2 linked regions of the Arabidopsis thaliana genome follow. The protein of the gene in region 1 interacts with the protein of each later gene in a pairwise test. Each region holds a gene or a part of one and is shown on either strand. Other genes may lie near its edges.

What was found. The genes of interacting proteins can lie anywhere in the genome.
Region 2: the proteins of ERS2 (region 1) and WAK2 interact in a protein complementation assay, tested with the Arabidopsis thaliana proteins (one large-scale study listed by BioGRID).

The regions. Positions count from the first base shown.
Region 1 is NC_003070.9:1,153,163-1,162,238, reverse strand, and holds ERS2 (ethylene response sensor 2), read left to right. Parts: upstream 1-4,425; 5' UTR 4,426-4,693; intron 4,694-5,099; 5' UTR 5,100-5,113; coding exon 5,114-6,889; intron 6,890-6,961; coding exon 6,962-7,123; 3' UTR 7,124-7,475; downstream 7,476-9,076. Other genes in the region: AT1G04330 (uncharacterized protein), read left to right, coding at 353-655; AT1G04300 (TRAF-like superfamily protein), read left to right, coding at 8,344-8,521, 8,894-9,005. UniProt on the Arabidopsis thaliana protein: Ethylene receptor related to bacterial two-component regulators. Acts as a redundant negative regulator of ethylene signaling.
Region 2 is NC_003070.9:7,441,190-7,450,790, reverse strand, and holds WAK2 (wall-associated kinase 2), read right to left. Parts: upstream 6,043-9,601; 5' UTR 5,795-6,042; coding exon 4,963-5,794; intron 4,889-4,962; coding exon 4,718-4,888; intron 4,642-4,717; coding exon 3,446-4,641; 3' UTR 3,102-3,445; coding exon of another isoform or gene 2,388-3,101; 3' UTR 2,308-2,387; downstream 1-2,307. Other genes in the region: AT1G21280 (Copia-like polyprotein/retrotransposon), read left to right, coding at 2,388-3,101; WAK1 (cell wall-associated kinase), read right to left, coding at 8,899-9,601. UniProt on the Arabidopsis thaliana protein: Serine/threonine-protein kinase that may function as a signaling receptor of extracellular matrix component. Binding to pectin may have significance in the control of cell expansion, morphogenesis and development.

The sequences.
Region 1 (9,076 bases):
TACAAGTGTTTCTTTCGACGAGCTTTTACATTTCTTGATAATCTTTTTCAGCACTAAAAGAAAGTAGTTTCTTCATAAACAAAAAAATGAAAAAGATACGTACTTATTATAGTCATCATAAAAGAGAATATAGTCAAACTTATAATTTAGTAGTTTAGTCTATACTAGTCAAAAGGAAAAACACTTGAACAAGAAAAGAAAAAACAAAACGAAGCAAATAATAAAAAGATTCGACCGTTTAGACCAAAACACAAGCCAAGCACACACTCTTGAACACGCCATTCTCTATATATACACGCATACTAGCTCACTCATAAATATAAACAAAAAATTAATACAACAAGATCCTGCTATGTCGTCCACGGCGAGAAATATTTCTGGCAGCGGGAACCGAAAGTCGAGTAGGCTGCAGCGGCGGGCTCCACCGCCTCTTAAGATAAACCCTTGCGAAGCGAATTGGAAAGTGGCTATTCCTCTTCTATCACCTACGGAGTCGCCACCACAAAAACCACCGGCGGTAATGAAGAGGGAGGAGCAACGGTGGGGTAAAGAGGCGGAGAAGCCGCCGGTTTTTAAGAAGTGGCAGCATCCGGCAGCTCCGTTTTACTACCAGCCAGCACCGTCATCGAATCAGCCGTTTGCATGGCCAAATTAACGGTCTCTTAATATTAGGTCTATCACACAAATACATAAATATTTGAATCTTTTTAATTGTATGCCGATCATATTGACAAATAGCATATTTTATTTTTTTTAACATTACCATCTTTATGCAGTATGTATGTTGGGTTTGATGTTGTTATGTCCTTGTAACCATTAATTAATAACTAATATATATAGTGTATTGTTTCGTATACTGTGTAATGTTGAAGACACTAGCTAAGATCGCCGTGTAATTTGATTTCTTTTATAAATATTTTTCTTAAAGAATTGTACATGCGTTCATATCAATATGTCTTTGTATAGGTGACAAAAAAAATTAGAAAATCGATTGCTAAATCTATATATAGCAACTAGAATTTAACCCGCGGTACACCGCGGGGCTATATTGTTTACAAAAATATAATGTTACTTTTTTAAAGATTAACTGAAAATATATCATATTAATTTGTATTTTTCAATGTAGATATCAATCTCTGTATTATTTAGTATATGATTACTATTGTTTAGGTTTCAATTTTTGAAGTATTGATATGAAAACACATATTTTTTTAAGTAATGATGTATGGTGGATTTTAAAATTTTGAATATTTTATCTGCAGTATACCGTGGGTCGATTTTTTATAGCTAAATTTTTTAAGTTTCAAGTTATATTCGTTTTGTTAATATTATATGGTTTTTTGTGTTTACGGTTGTATAATTGTATTTTAATTGTAAATTTTAAGAATTCATCCGTGATATACCTTTCTTTATTGATATCGATCAAAACCCGTCATCCCATATAAACTCGTCTATATTATCTCGTTAGCTAAATATTAGTATTATAAAATCCAAGAAAATAAATTATTTTTGTTATAAATACAATAATTTTAGGATCTCACCCGTGTTATACCGTTTCTTGAATGATTTTAAATTTCTACTACTAATATAGATTTTAAATTTATCATAGAAAGTATATGATTTCAATTTTTTGTATTTTTTTTTATTTAAATAAAGCAACGGCTTAAATGATGATATATATAATTCTTTTTCTGTATGTGTATATGATTTTTTATGTGAATATTTTCATTATTATAAATTAGTATTTTTATTGTTATGCAAAATGTTAATATAAATATTTGCTATAAATCGAATTTATGCATATTTCTGGAGTAAAATTCACGGAATTTTGTTTTTGAAGATATATGAAAAGATTGTGTACAGATTTTTAGAAAGAAATTAAACAAGATATCGTTTGATTAATATCTTTTAAAATTTTGTAAAACTAAATAATAAATGCGAGTGGCAGCCATTGTAAATAAGTCTCAACTCCAAGATTTATTTCACAAAATGGCTGCAAAAATGTATATGTAGATGCTATAATAGCATCCATTGGGCGACAAAAGAAAACGTAAAAATATATTTTTTGGTAACTAAGTAAAACAAGTATATATAGAAAACATGTTTTGTTTTGAAATCTTTCTCTTACTTAGTTTTGCAAAATTATCACATTAAATGTTTTACAAGATAAGTTGGTGTAGTAGTTGTTTTGCGAGTGTGAGTTCGGTTTATCTTGGTATAGTATAACATCATCCGGTTTACTAAGGCTTTAAGTTGTTGGGCTGTTTAGTGTTCAAACATTTGATTAAACCGATTAAAAAGCTACTATACATTAACAGCCAAGGGTCGAAGAATAAACAAGACAGTGAATTTTTAAAGCTGTCGTCTGATCCACAGATAGGTGAAAGTTTGATTTCGTTATTAATTAGTGGGAAACAAATGGAGATTTGCTGAAACGTACTCTCGATAACAGTTCATATTCAAGACTCAAGAGAATCTCGTATATTCTAAGGAAGACGTACCTAAACAGAAAGTTGGTCCCAAAAAACGAGAGAAGGAATGAAAGATCAAGGATACATGTTTTATATACATGAAAAATACTAAATTTTAAAAGAAGTATTAAACGTTTTTATAATGTCACCGGAAAGAAGATGTAAATGTATTGATCAAATCATCTGACTATAAAAGTAATTCAAATCACCATTTTTTTAAATCAATTTGAATATTTGATGAATTTCCGTATATAAACAATCAGTCCCGCTCTTGCTGTATAAATGAAACGTCTATCAAACATTAGCTAGTCTTGTACTGGATTGCCTTTACAGACAAAAGATTATACTGTATATGTATGTGGTCTCATGCAAAAAAAGTAAAAATGATTCTGTGTACATCTGTTTTGATTTGCATATATATTGGCTTAAGTGGCAAAGGTGCATGCACTATTTCTATTTCTTTGATAAAAGTTTTATGATGCATGCATTCTTACCAGTGATTTCTTTAAAAGGAGAAGACATTTGTTTTGTAATAGTGACGAGAATGTAGACAGAAAAGGAAAGGAATCAGCACGTGTTCATCGCTCGACACGTGGCCAATAATAGCATTGGATTCAGAAAAAAAGAAAAAGAAAAAAGCGAAAAAACCTGTATAACAGGAAAAAAATACAATCTGCACCAGCCGGGAATCGAACCCGGGTCTGTACCGTGGCAGGGTACTATTCTACCACTAGACCACTGGTTATTTATTTAAAAGATTTATATTGGTATAAAACCTTGACCATAAAATGTTCCTAGTGCATCCACTAAGATCAAATTCATATTAATAAACAAAAACATAAAATTCAAACCGATATAGCAAGATTGCTGTTAGTTTTGTCTTCTAAATCTGATAAGTGTTCGTTATTGTCGAGGTTATGTAGCTAGTTTATATATTACTTGTACTAAATTTCAATAGGGCAATCAAAATATACGGATTTTCATGTGTATATATTTTTCTAAATTTGCGGTTTACAAAGAAAAGTTAGTGGTTGATCATATTGATTTCTTGAAAGGGAAATATTACCAATAAAATGATAAAATTGCCAAGAAAAATTAGTAGTACGATCGATAATTTAGTGATATTGGGATCCAAAGAGATGATCATGCACTTAGTTAAGACTCCATTTTCTGATAAGAGTTAAGTGGCGGTAGACCCACAAAGAAATTTGATTCGGTATTGTTATTATTGAGTAGAAAAACAAAGATGGAGTGTTTAACTAAATCATGTCTAATAAGTAGCAAGGTAGGTCAATATAACGTTTTACAAACGAAAAATAGCATTGCATATTTAATTATCTACCAAATATCTTAAGTCAGTCGAATAAACTAACTCATTATGTTATCAAATCAGCCGCAAATTGTGCCGTTTAAGTCAATACTATTTTTAACTTAGATATTTAGTGAGTAGACTTCATACTTGCATAGTCTAGTAGTTATCATTGTTTAATGCAATTTTTTGGTTTTAATGTAAACTTATACTACTATTTGGTCATGTAATCTCACTTTCTAAAAAACCAATGTAATCATCCATAATAGAAATAAAACATTTATTTAATATAATTAACTAATTTTTAAACATTAAAAAGAATAGATTTATTTTTATACATAAAATAATAGAAATATAAATATATATATATATTATTATAGGTTGTTTATTGTAATCCAAAAGCAGAATAAAATTTGGGATAGGTATTAAGAGTCATAAATCTTGAAAATAGAGTCATTAATTAATAAAGCTGAAAAGGAAAGATTAAAAAAAGAAGAAGAATCCTCTAAAATTGAATTTGGTAAGAGTCCACGTAGGTCAAGAAGAAGAAGAAGAAGATGTCGTGCTCGTGTTGTGTTCCAAACGAAAAGCGTCTATGTTCTCTTCATGTACCGTTTCTGGGTCCCACCCCCCTTTCCTTCTTCACTCTCCCCCCAATTCCTCCCTCTCTCTCTCTCTCTCTCTCTCTCTCTCACCAAAACGTAAATCTACTCTCTCTATCGCAGCAGACACAGAAAAAGAGAGAGCGAGAGACTCTGCTCACACACATATTTACTTCCCTAACTTGTCTCTCTCTCTACACATTCTGGTGAGTTTCGTAAGATTCAACAATCGTTTAGACTTCTTCTTCTTCTTCTTCTACAGCTTTTACGTTTTCTGGAAAAGAGATTTTTGGCTGATCACTACGTTGCAGGTATATGATTTCTCAAATGTGAGATGGGTTTGATGTTCCTTTTCGCTATTTCTCATCTGATTTTGAATTTTCTGCGGATTTTGTGAGGAATCGGTAGATTTTGATGTTTGTTCTTGTGGGTGGTTCATAACTTCATACATTTAGGGGATTAAAAGAAAATTAATTTACAAATTCGGTCCTTGTTGTGAAAAAGATTTATAATCTAAAAGACATTAACTTTACTCTCTCCTTGAACAAGTTTTGAATTTTGAATCTTTTTCTGATTTTGATTTTCACTATGTTCATAGGTAATTGCACAATTCTGGGTATACAAAATCCAAACGTTACGCATATTGAATTGAAAAATCTCGATTTTGAGTTCTGGGTATGAATAAAAATCTCACCTTTTTAATTAATTCTTACTCAGGGAAACAGTAATCGATGTTAAAGACATTGTTAGTCCAATGGCTTGTCTTCTTCTTCTTCTTCTTAATCGGTTCCGTCGTCACCGCCGCAGAAGACGACGGTAGCTTGTCGTTATGCAACTGCGACGACGAAGACAGTCTCTTTAGCTACGAGACAATCCTCAACTCGCAAAAAGTCGGCGACTTTCTTATCGCAATCGCTTATTTCTCGATCCCAATCGAGCTGGTTTACTTCGTGAGCCGCACCAATGTGCCTTCACCTTACAATTGGGTGGTCTGCGAGTTTATAGCCTTCATTGTTCTCTGCGGCATGACCCATTTGCTCGCTGGTTTCACCTACGGGCCTCACTGGCCTTGGGTCATGACAGCTGTCACTGTCTTCAAGATGCTGACTGGTATCGTCTCTTTCCTCACGGCACTCTCGTTAGTCACTCTCTTACCATTGCTTCTTAAGGCTAAGGTTCGTGAGTTTATGTTGAGTAAGAAGACCAGAGAGCTTGATCGTGAGGTTGGGATCATTATGAAGCAGACTGAGACGAGTTTGCATGTTCGTATGCTCACTACCAAGATTAGGACGTCTCTTGATCGACACACCATTCTATACACTACGCTTGTGGAGTTGTCCAAGACTCTGGGGCTCAAGAACTGTGCGGTTTGGATCCCGAATGAGATCAAGACGGAGATGAATCTTACTCATGAGTTAAGACCGAGGATTGATGATGAGAATGAGAATGAGCATTTTGGTGGTTATGCTGGGTTCTCGATACCGATTAGTGAGTCTGATGTTGTGAGGATTAAGAGAAGCGAAGAGGTGAATATGTTGAGCCCTGGTTCTGTGCTTGCCTCAGTGACTAGCCGAGGGAAGTCAGGTCCTACGGTTGGGATAAGAGTCCCTATGCTTCGGGTTTGTAACTTTAAAGGCGGGACACCAGAGGCGATTCACATGTGTTATGCGATATTGGTGTGTGTGCTTCCATTGAGACAGCCGCAGGCTTGGACTTATCAAGAGCTTGAGATTGTTAAGGTGGTGGCTGATCAAGTGGCGGTTGCAATCTCTCACGCCGTGATTCTTGAAGAATCTCAGCTTATGAGAGAGAAACTCGCTGAACAGAACCGAGCGCTTCAGGTTGCGAGGGAGAACGCACTGAGAGCTAATCAAGCCAAGGCTGCGTTCGAGCAGATGATGAGCGATGCAATGAGGTGTCCTGTGCGGTCCATTCTCGGGTTGCTTCCTTTGATACTTCAGGATGGGAAGTTACCCGAGAACCAGACTGTTATCGTTGATGCAATGAGGAGAACCAGCGAGTTACTTGTACAGCTTGTAAACAATGCCGGAGATATAAACAATGGGACAATCCGCGCTGCAGAGACTCATTATTTCAGTTTGCATTCGGTTGTGAAAGAGTCAGCTTGCGTGGCGAGGTGTTTATGCATGGCAAATGGTTTTGGTTTCTCAGCTGAAGTTTATAGAGCATTGCCTGACTACGTCGTAGGTGATGATAGAAAGGTCTTTCAAGCGATTTTGCATATGCTTGGGGTTCTAATGAATCGAAAGATCAAAGGGAATGTGACTTTCTGGGTTTTTCCGGAAAGCGGGAACTCAGACGTATCAGAGAGGAAAGATATTCAAGAAGCGGTTTGGCGACATTGCTATTCGAAAGAATACATGGAAGTTAGATTCGGATTCGAGGTAACTGCTGAAGGTGAAGAGAGTAGTAGTAGTAGTAGTGGTAGTAACCTGGAGGAGGAGGAAGAGAATCCGAGTCTCAACGCTTGCCAAAACATTGTAAAGGTTGGTCATTTGTGTTTTGTATGTAAATGTGCTAATGACTTGGTTTAACACTTTTATCTTGTTTTGTGACAGTATATGCAAGGGAATATTCGGGTTGTTGAGGACGGTCTAGGTTTGGTGAAAAGCGTCTCAGTTGTTTTCCGGTTTCAACTCCGGCGATCGATGATGTCGAGAGGCGGTGGATATTCTGGAGAAACGTTTAGAACCTCAACTCCTCCGTCTACTAGCCACTGATCATTGACGTCAGGAAGGGGGGGAGGGGAATGTAGTGCAAAAGAAAGATTTAAGGGGTGGAATCTGAGAATTTGTAAAAACAGTAGGGGCTTTAATGAGATTAACAGAGAGAGTACTAAAACGTTGTCGTTCGGTTGTAAAAACCTGAAAGTTAACTAGGTTTTAACCTATCGTGTAGGCAAAAGGTATGATGCAGACTTGTTGTAACTTGCTGGTGATAACAGAATTCAAAGTAAAAAAATGTGTCGGAGGATGTTCCTTACGGATTTGTGATTTACAAGCCTACCAACTCCTTTGTCAAATATTGTGACGTTTTAGATGAAGCTTATAAATTTATTGATTTCTGATCCAGAAACCGTATACAACTTGTATCCACAATATGTATCCAGGTACATATTAACTTCGACCTTTTAATTAACTTTTGTTTTTAAAAGGTTTATGTGATTTTTTTTTTTTAACATTGAGGTGATTCGTGCGACCTCTCTTTCTCTCTATTTATCTCTCTTTCTTTTCCTCCGTCGTCTTTTTTGGTTTGTTCTCTCTCTGTAGAATCTCATAGGAGCTGCCATTAGCCCATTCAACGAATTAGCTTCTCTTTGCTCTTTCTTCCACCATCTCAGGTTCGCTTCGATCTACAACCAATAAGCTTCTTCTATATCTCCTCCTTTGTTCTTCGGATTTTGCGAGGCTTTATGTTCCGATTACAGTCTTTCATTTTGATACCACACCGATTTTGATTTTCCCCGATCGTTGATTTCATCTGGGCTTTGTTTTGTTTTCCGATGTCTTTGATGAAATTATGAGGTTTCTCTGGATATTTTAGCTGATTGAAATGATATATTGCTTCGCCGCCCTCTAATTTTTCGGCTGATTTTTTTTTGTTTGTTTGTAATTTTACCAATCTAATTTTGAAAATTGGAAATTAGGGTTTATTGCCCATCGATTATCTGATGTGGGTTTTAAAGGGTTTCGATTTTTTAGCCATGAATTCGTTATACTCACGGATAAAATCTAGAAATGATTGCGGATTGGTATAGTTTGAGAGAGCCAGATCGTTGAATATCTTTGTCCATTTCAAATCATGACTTGGCATATTGTTTTCTGGGTATACATAATTGTGGGGATTACAGAATTCAAAATCTAATTTATTTGCTCCAATCGTTAATTGCTGATAGTTGAAGGAGAGAGAGAGCTTTGACGAAACAATTTCATACTGGGGAATGGCAGAGGCTGTTGATGAAGATTCTGGGGTTGGACGATCTCTAGAGGAGAGTTCAAATGGACAACACAGTCAAGCAGGAGAAGCACTCTCAGAGTGGCGCTCTTCTGGTCAAGTGGAGAACGGGACTCCATCCACATCCCCCTCTTACTGGGATATCGATGACGATGATGATTATGGTAGGTCTTTTCACTGTTTGGTTTCCCAGTGAGTAAAACTTGGATGTGGCTAATTTCAAACTGAGTTTCTTTATACTTTGTACAAGTGCAAATTTCTTGATGTTAACATACTTATTTTCATCTTAATGTTGCAAGGCAGAGATTTCTCTTTGCCTTAGTATCCGATGTTGAAAAGAATGCATGCATCTAAAATAATTGTTGGGGTGGAAATATTCTAGTCATGTGCTAGAGATCTTTATCTGTTTGTGTTAAGGAGTTCAGTTTTGTATAGCATCCTACTATGTAGTATTTCTCCTTCTTTGTTTGGTTTACTTTATTGTACTCTTGATGAATGTTTCAGCTGTGTAATGTGAACTTTATTATCTTCTTCAGGCCTGAAACCCTCTGAGTTATATGGACAGTATACTTGGAAGATTCCGAAATTTTCAGAAATCACTAAAAGGGAGCATCGTAGCAATGTTTTTGAAGCTGGCGGTTACAAATGGTACATGGCATCTGTTTATCTTTCTCATCCTTATATCTTGTGTCACAATAAAATCTCGGGATGTGATTGTT
Region 2 (9,601 bases), 6.3 Mb from region 1:
GACTTAAAAAAGTGAAAAATCGAAGTGGATAAATACGAAGCAAAGCCCTAGAATTAGAGAAGCAGAGCTCAGAGTTAGTCAGAGCAGTGACGACGATGGCGGAAACTATCATCAGCTTATTATCTCCCACACTCGATATCAAATCACCCTATTATTTCAATCCAGATTATCTTCACCAATTCAACATGCACACCAATACCGCAATCGATAAACTCAGCGAAGCTAAAGACAACTACGCCATTTGGAAACTGCGATTTTTCGATCTCCTTCAATTCACGAACAAAACCGGGTTCATCGACGGTACTCTCCCAAAACCAGACCCTTCCTCTCCATACTATGAGCCATGGAAACAATGCAACGCGATTGTTTTGCATTGGCTGAGTAATACCGTGACCGATACGCTTCAAAACCATGTGTTGCAAGCAGAGACTGTGCATAAAGCATGGGAAGATCTCAGACGTATATTCGTTCCATGTATTGATTTTAAGATCTACGAGCTTCGTCAGAGACTCGCGACGCTGAGGCAAGGTGGTGACTCTGTGGCGGAGTATTTTGGGAAATTGAGTAAGGCTTGGCTGGAGTTGAAGGCGTATGATCCTGTGCAGGAGTGTAAGTGCGGTGGTTGCGATTGCGAGAGTGAGAAACGAGCTACAGAGGCGAGAGAGAAAGAGCAGCGTTACGCGTTTCTGATGGGTTTGAACAAAGAGTTTGACTATGTGAAAATGAAAGTCATGCACAAGAAGATTCCTCCGTCTGTTTACCAAGCTTATGAGATGGTTGTGTATTCAGAAGCGATGATGAAGTGGAAAATGGGAGGAAGAATTTAGGAATTTGCAGGTCCGTGATTTTAACTTTTTATGCTTTTATAGTGTTTCTTTTTGAAGTGTTTTCGTGTTTTTTGAATCCATATTGGTACATTATCAATGTCATATGGAATTAGATTCGTCAACTGAAATTTTGCATAAGAGCTCTAAATTTGGTTATTTGACTACTGGTTAGTATAACAACTATAGATGATGCACAAAATATTCTCTCAATACATAATTTGATGAGGCAATTACAAAGAAGTAGGATTCATGTTTTACAAACAAAAGACATGTGTGAATTTGTCAGAGCTCCGATGTCCAATATTCTTGATGCTGTCATAACTACGGCTACTGGTATCTCCCTGTGTTGATAATATTCGAACACCGAGCAAGTGTTCAATCTCCCTTGTCTCAGGATACTGATTATGTTTTAATTGTTTTGACTTTCAAGGTCTCTAACTCTGCAGCTACTTCGTTCATCCTTGGCCTTTCCTGTACCCTCAATCGCAAACTTCATATTCTCCTTCTCTTTTTCTCTCTAAATTGGTTTCTCTCATCTCTCCAAAGCATCTGCTTCTTAAATATAAGAAAACACACTCCATTCTTGAGATGTTCTCTTGACTTGGTTCCGTTGACTTGTCCCCACTTTCTCCTACATTAAGGTCCTTAAAGAAAAACACATTACAAAGAGGCAATAGTTTCAACATGTTCGGGTGAGATAGAGACGCAGATATCGTGTATGAGTCATTGAGTCCACATCGGCGACAAAACTCTTTCTCGTCTGCAATTCCATGGAGCCTAACTCTTCTGATGTCTTTTTTCCTACATTGTACTAGAAAATGAAGAAGGGTTGAAGAATGGGTGGGAGAGATTTTGGGGCAAAAATGATTTCACCAGCCTTGTTGGTGCCAGGAGAAGTCATATTGACCAAAGGGAAAGGAAGCTCAAATGTTTGCTTGGACCAACATGTTTCTTGACATTCTCTAGTATCCACAAATCAAAACTAGAGAAGCTTAAAGGGTTTCTAGCAATGGAAGCTAACTTCCCTTTGTATTCTATCAATATTGATTCACACTCCCGAACCAAAACATCCCTAGGCACTTTGATAAAACTTAGCCTCTCATATCTAACATGAAAACACACAATCACCATTCACCGGATCCATTCTTAGTCTAGGGGCCCAAGCACCATAATAGATGGAACCATAGATGCAAAGTCCCTTGGTTACACGGTAATAAGGAGCTTTGGTAAACTGATTACGTGTTTTTGATGTTTCTTGTCCTCCAAAACCAAGATACAGGTCATGTGAAGACACCAGGTTCAACGCTTTGATTAATGACCAACAAGATCATATCCCAATGATGCGCGGGGTCCTTTAATGGGTAAGGTAATCCCTGAAACTTTGGGCTAGGGAGGGGAAATACAAGGCCCATTAAGCCCAACTGTTTACAAAAAATTGCGACTTTTCTTATTTTGGAAAATTATTTCTTTATTTGAGACTAAAAAAGTCAAAATCGAAAGGGATACAAAGCAAGCCCTAGGATTTGGAAGCAGAGAGAGACTCTCAGAGCAGCGACGACAATGGCGGAAACTATCAAGAGCGTATCTCCAACATCAGACCCCGATTCACCGTATTATCTCCCTCCCGATATTCATCATCCCTCCGATTTCTCTATCCAAAAACTCAGCAAAGACGAAGACAACTACGTCGCCTGGAAAATTCGATTTCGCTCTTTCCTCCGAGTCACGAAAAAATTCGGGTTTATCGACGGTACTCTCCCGAAGCCAGACCCTTTCTCTCCGCTCTATCAGCCATGGGAACAATGCAACGCAATGGTTATGTATTGGCTGATGAATTCGATGACCGATAAGCTTCTAGAATCTGTTATGTACGCGGAGACTGCTCATAAAATGTGGGAAGATCTCAGACGTGTATTCGTTCCTTGTGTTGATTTGAAGATTTATCAGCTTCGTCGGAGACTCGCGACGCTCAGGCAAGGTGGTGACTCTGTTGAGGAGTATTTTGGGAAATTGAGTAAAGTTTGGATGGAGTTGTCGGAGTATGCTCCTATACCGGAGTGTAAATGCGGTGGTTGCAATTGCGAGTGTACTAAACGAGCTGAAGAGGCGAGAGAGAAGGAGCAGCGTTACGAGTTTTTGATGGGGTTGAAGTTGAACCAAGGCTTCGAGGCTGTGACGACAAAAATCATGTTCCAGAAACCTCCTCCGTCACTTCACGAAGCTTTCGCTATGGTCAAAGATGCAGAATCGATGATGAAGTGGTACAGTAGATGAAGAATTTAGGAAGCAGGTTTATGATCATAACTTTTCTCTTCTTTGCCTATGTTTTTTTTTGGGATTCTAGTGTTTCTTATTGAGATGTGTTTGAAGCTATATCTGTATATTATCAATCTCATATGGAATTAGATTTTTATGAACTAAAATTTAACACAAGAGTTTTAAATTTGCCAATAACCAGATCGGTTACTGGTTAGTATACCAAGTAAAGGAAAATATGAACATGATTATTGATGATGTACAAACAAATCTGTCAAAGCATTATTGATGAAGCAACAAGGAAATGACTTTCTTTTTTTACAAACAAAAGATATACATGTGATTTTGTCAGAGCATTAATATCAACGGCCAGCTTCAATGTCCAATGTTGTTACATTTCTGATGCTGTCATAGCCAATGCTGCTACTGGTTTCGCCTTGTGCTGACAAGATTTGAACGCCGAGCAAGTGTTCAATCTCCCCTGTCTCACGATACTGATCCGACCACTTATATTTAGTTGTTTTAACTCTCAAGGCCTCTAACTCTGCAGCTACTTCTTTCATCCTTGGCCTTTCCTCTCCCATTAGCCTTGTACACTCTGCAGCAATTCTTGCAGCTTCCTGGATCTCTCTCTGGTTATCCTCATTCATCACTTGCCCATCAATAATTTCATGGAACCTATTATTCTTTGTGGCAGAAGCAAAACAACTCACAAGATTTTTTGGGCAATGTGGTCTTTCGAAACACAATGCCTTTTGACCTGAGAGCAGTTCCATTAGGACGACCCCAAAACTATAAACATCGCTCTTTTCGTTTAACAACCCTGTGTTGTAATATTCTGGGTCTAGGTAACCTAGAGTGCCTTGCACTATTGTTGTGAGCTGCTCTTTATCCATCGGTATCAATCTTGATGCACCAAAGTCAGCTACTTTTGCAGTTAAGTTTTTATCCAGGAGAATATTAGCAGTCTTGATATCTCGGTGGATGATTGGAATAGAAGCAGAAGAGTGAAGATATGCAAGACTTCCTGCTACTTCTGTTGCTATCCTCAGACGGTGCTCCCATGTAAGTGAAGAATCATACAAGGAACCGTGCAAGTGATCGAAAAGGGTACCACTGTTAATGAACTCATAGACCAACAAGGGGACTTCTGTCTCTAAACAACACCCCAAGACCTTGACCACGTTCCTATGGTTGATTTGTGAAAGCACTAGCACTTCGTTGATGAACTGCTCTACTTGGCTACGGTTTCCAAGCCGAGCTTTCTTTATAGCAACTATGGAGTTGTCCGGCAATATCCCTTTGTACACTGTTCCTTGGCCTCCCTGACCCAGGATTCTGCTCTCATGGTAACCATTAGTTGCTTCCTTCATTCCTTTCTCAGTGAAGATTTTGACATCAACATTTGATGGCCCTGCTCCCGAGACTCGCTGTATCAACATGCCTCCACCATTTTGCTCGAAGAATTTTTGTCGGAGCTCTGTGTTCTTCCGGTGCTTAATTTTCTGTTGTAGACAGCTAATCCCAAGCATGATAACCGAGAAGCCGATGGTGGTTCCTGATCACATCACACCTAGGTAATTAGAGCTAGTTTTTTAAAAGGAAAGTATCCGAAACCAGTGAGGGGAACATACCAAGAAAAATTTGAGTCCATCTAAAGTATTCAGGCCTGACTTTACGAGTACAGCTATTAAGGGAATCTTTGCGGTAACCAGATGGGCAGTTACAGTTGAAGCTCCCCTTCGTGTTTTCACAGGTACTATGCTCCGAACAGTTATGTCTACTACTAATACATTCATTGATGTCTGGCCAAGGAAAAAGAGCATGTATGAAGTAAACGATTAAAAGAAGTGATAAAACAGAAAACAAGTTAAAGTACCTTGACAACCGTTTGGAAGGTATGGATTCCCCTCAAAACCTTCTAAACATTTGCAGTTATACCCGGTTCCACCAGTAGAATCGAAACATGTGCTGTTACCACCACACACGCCCCTGTATTCTACTTGTTTGCAAGTCTTGTCTCCGATAGACCAATCTAGTACTACAGGGAACGTAGTAACATTTCGCAGATTGTTGAGATCTTCCAAAGCATGGAAGTCAAACATACCATCTTCAACGAGAAAGGCGTAGGTGCAAGGATTAAACAGATGCACAGTAGGATGGTTGTGAAAGCTATGTGGTTTTACTCTGACAAAAGAGTATCCTCTAGGGACAGGGATCTGGCAGCAACCTTCACCAGAACATGATCCGTTTTTCGTTGTGGCAGAATCACATATTGATATGCATCCAGTTGAGTATTTTTCAACTCCAGATGTGCGGAGAAATGCGTAACTGTTACAACCTACTACAGTAAATCTGTTAAGTTCAGAGAGAGTGAAATTACCCAGGGTGGTCCGCTGGGCAATGTAGTCAGTCTGTTTTCCTTGACTATCGTAGCAAACTCTGGATCTAACTAGCCGAACACGAAGCTGGCCGCTGAGAGACATGTTGATGACTGGCATGTTGCCAAAGAAGAGCTTCTCTTGCTCGTTGCAAGTAAGATTGAAACTTTCATCTCCGGGATAGTAACAACCTGGAGAAGTACCAAAAGGGTACTCAACTGCGACATTGCCACATCTAGTTTGGCACTCCTTGCGAGGTTGCCCCTTGACTAGCTGCGTATAAGCAAGGTAGAAAACAGCCACCACGAACAAACCCTCCTGTACCTTCATCTTCTCTCTTTCTTTCTCTCTCACTCTTTTAACTTTGTTCCTGTTTTGAGTTTTCGCTAATCTCCTTTTTCTTATTAGAAACAACTGTATATGAAATGTTCTCTTCACTCATTTTCGCAGGCCCGCTCCCATTTTGTCATATAATGCAAGAAGACGAAAATTCAACTACACAACCAATGTAACCCATGAGGCGTGAAGAGGACGTTTGCTGCATATTCCTGTATAGTATTTAAACAGTGACAACTATAGGTCTTGGTCTTCTCGTCATTCTTGATATTTTTTTCGTTAGTGGGGAAACCGATTTAATTTTGTTAACAGTGACACTTATTTTCTTACTATTCAAAGATTAAGACAGTTGCAACTTGCAAGGAATCTTCAATTATGAAGACCCTCTTAAGTCAACTTCAGTCTCGGTCCTCTCTTCTTTTCTCGATATTACAAGGCAAATTTACTCTTTTTCTTAACAGTTAATTTCACGCTCAAAATATGAAAATTGCCTTTTAAAATGACGATATAGGAATTGAGACTCCTGAATCCTGATCACAACATGCTCTGTTTTCTTATGATGCTTTTATTACGACTTGTTTTTTTCCCCACATTTAGACATTTTGAGTCATAAAGCATTATGCCACCAAGATCAGACCCTCTTGCAACTTCATCTTCTCCTTCTCTCTTTGTCTCACTAAATTTGTTTCTCTTTGAGTTTTCTCTCATCTCTCCGTAGCATCTGCTTCTTAAAGCTAAGAAAACACACTCCATTCTTGATATGTTCTCTTGACTTGCTTCCGTTGACTAGTCCCCATTTTCCCAATAATTGCAGGAATCTGCAATAGTAAATATTATTTTACAGAGCCGGACCAATGAAATTCGGGCCATTTAAATTACGAAAACAAAGTACTTTTGTCTTTAAAACTATAGAGTAAATAGAAACCAATTTAAACAAAACTCTGAATTATTTATTTAATTGTATGTTAGATTTATAAATATTTTGGATCACACTATTATTTAAGATTAATATGTATAAAACTAACTATTTCTCCTATTAAAAATCAATATATATATATATGTATATTTAATTACAATAAAATTTCTGTGGGACCCTTTTAAAATGGGAGCCCCATTAGAATGTTTCATCTTCATGTGCTATGGTCCGCTCCAATATCCTTCTCTTACTTTTCTTGATTTCCAGGCAAATTATGTAGACCACCTTCACCTAACCCTTCTCTTCCCTGCTTTTTTATTTCCACTGTCTTTTAGAATTAGACCTATTGGTAGTTAAGACAAATGATAGTTAAGATTAGGTTTTCCAAAACTTCCACAATGGCTTAATCCTCATAGATAAACGAGCTTCTCGATGATTATCTGCAGCATACAGTTCAATGAAATCTTGTGCATATAATACCTTCTGAGCAAAAACAAACAAAACACTCAAAATATGAACAACAATAAAAAGAAATAACACATGTCAGAAAATGCAAATCATCAATGGTAAGATAAAAAACTAGTTTGCTTGATGTTGAAAAGCCAACGCTTATATATTGATTCAAAGAAGAAAAAAACAGAGTCTGTCAAGCTCTTACACATTAAGGTCCTTGAAGAAAAACAAGGTTCGGGTGAGATAGAGACGCACATATCGTGTATGAGTCCATTATGAAGAAGGAAAGTTGAAGAATGGGTGGTATACATTTTGGGGGAAATGATTTCACCAACCTTGTTGGTGCCAGGGAACTCATATCAACCAAAGGGAAGGGAAGATCAACTGTTTGCTTGGACCAATCATGTTTATTGACATCCTCTCTAGTATCCACAAATCAAAACGTTGGAAAGAAGCATATGCGTTTCTTGCAATCGACGCTAGCTTCCCTAGGGGCTTTGTTGGGCTCCGGAGGGAAACTCAAGGCCCATTAAGCCCAACTCTTTATCTTTTTTTTTTTTTTTTTTTCTCTTTCTCATTTTGAAAATGATTTGTTTAATGTTAGTCAAAATCGAAAGGGATAAAAAAGGGCAAGCCCTAGAGTTTTAGAAGCAGAGCTCAGTGACGACAATGGCGGAAACTATCAAGAGCGTATCTCCATTATCCGACCCCGATTCACCGTATTATCTCCCTCCAGATATTAATCAACCCTCCGATTTCTCTATCGAAAAACTCAGCGAAGCCGAAGACAACTACGTCATCTGGAAATTTCGATTTCGCTCTTTTCTCGAACTCACGAACAAAATCGGTTTCATTGACAGTACTCTCCCGCAGCCAGAACCTTCCTCGCCGCTCTATCATCCATGGAAACGATGCGACACAATAGTTAAGTATTGGCTGATGAATTTGATGAGCGAAGAGCTTGTAAAGTCTGTGATGTACGCGAAGACTGCTCATCAAGCGTGGGAAAATCTCAGACTTAGATTCGTTCCTTGCGTCGATTTGAAGATCTACCAGCTTCGTCGGAGGCTCGCGACGTTGAGGCAAGGTGGTGATTCTGTTGAGGAGTATTTTGGGAAACTGAGTAAAGTTTGGATGGAGTTGTCGGAGTATGCTCCTGTACCTGAGTGTAAGTGCGGTGGTTGCAATTGCGAGAGTACGAAACTAGCTAAAGAAGCGAGAGAGAAGGAGCAGCGTTACGAGTTTTTGATGGGGTTGAACAAAGAGTTTGAGGTTGTGAGGATAACAATCATGCTCAAGAAACCTCCTCCGCCACTTTACGAAGCTTACAATATGGTTAAAGGAGCAGAATTGACGATGAAGAGATACAGGAGATGAAGAATTTAGGAACCAGGTTCATGATCATAACTTTCTCTATATGTTATGCATTTCTTTTTGTAAAGATTCTAGTGTTTCTTATCTAGTTGTTTTTGATAACATCAATGTCATATGGAATAAGATTTATGAACTGATATTGGTAATCTGCTATTTTGCAAAAGAGTTTCTAAGTTTGCCTATAACCAGATTGGCTACTGGTTAGTATACCAATGGGAATTACAAACATGGTTATTGATGATTTATAAAAATTCTTTCAAATCATTATTAATGAAGCAAAGCATTATTGATGAAGCAACAAAGAGGTAGTTTTTTTTTTCTTACAAACAAAAGAAATACATGTGAATTTGTAATATCAGCGGCCAGTTTCAATGTCCAATATTGCTACATTCTTGATGCTGTCATAGCCAATGCTGCTACTGGTTTCGCCTTGTGCTGACAAGATGTGACCACCAATCAAGTGTTCATTCTCCTCAGGGTACTGATCCGACCACTTATGTTTGGTTTTTTCGACCCTCAAGGCTTCTAGCTTTGCAGCTACTTCTTTCATCCTTGGCCTTTCCTCTCCCATTAGCCTTGTACACTCTGCAGCAATTCTTGCAGCTTCCTGGATCTCCTTCAGATTATCCTCGTTCATCACTTCGCCGCCAATAATCTCATCCAACCTATTCTCTTTTGTGGCAGTCGCAAAGTAACTCACCAGATGTTTTGAGGACTGTGGCCGTTTAAAGCACAATGCCTTTTGACCTGAGAGCAGTTCCATTAGGACGACCCCAAAACTATAAACATCGCTCTTTTCGTTTAACAACCCTGTGTTGTAATATTCTGGGTCTAGGTAACCTAGAGTGCCTTGCACCATAGTTTCGAGCTCTTCTTTATCCATTGGTATCAGCCTTGAAGCACCAAAGTCAGCTACTTTTGCAGTTAAGTTTACATCCAGAAGAATATTTGCAGTTTTGATATCCCGATGGATGATTGGAATAGAAGCAGAGGAGTGAAGATATGCAAGAGTTCCAGCGACTTCTATTGCTATCTTCAGACGGTGTTCCCATGTAAGC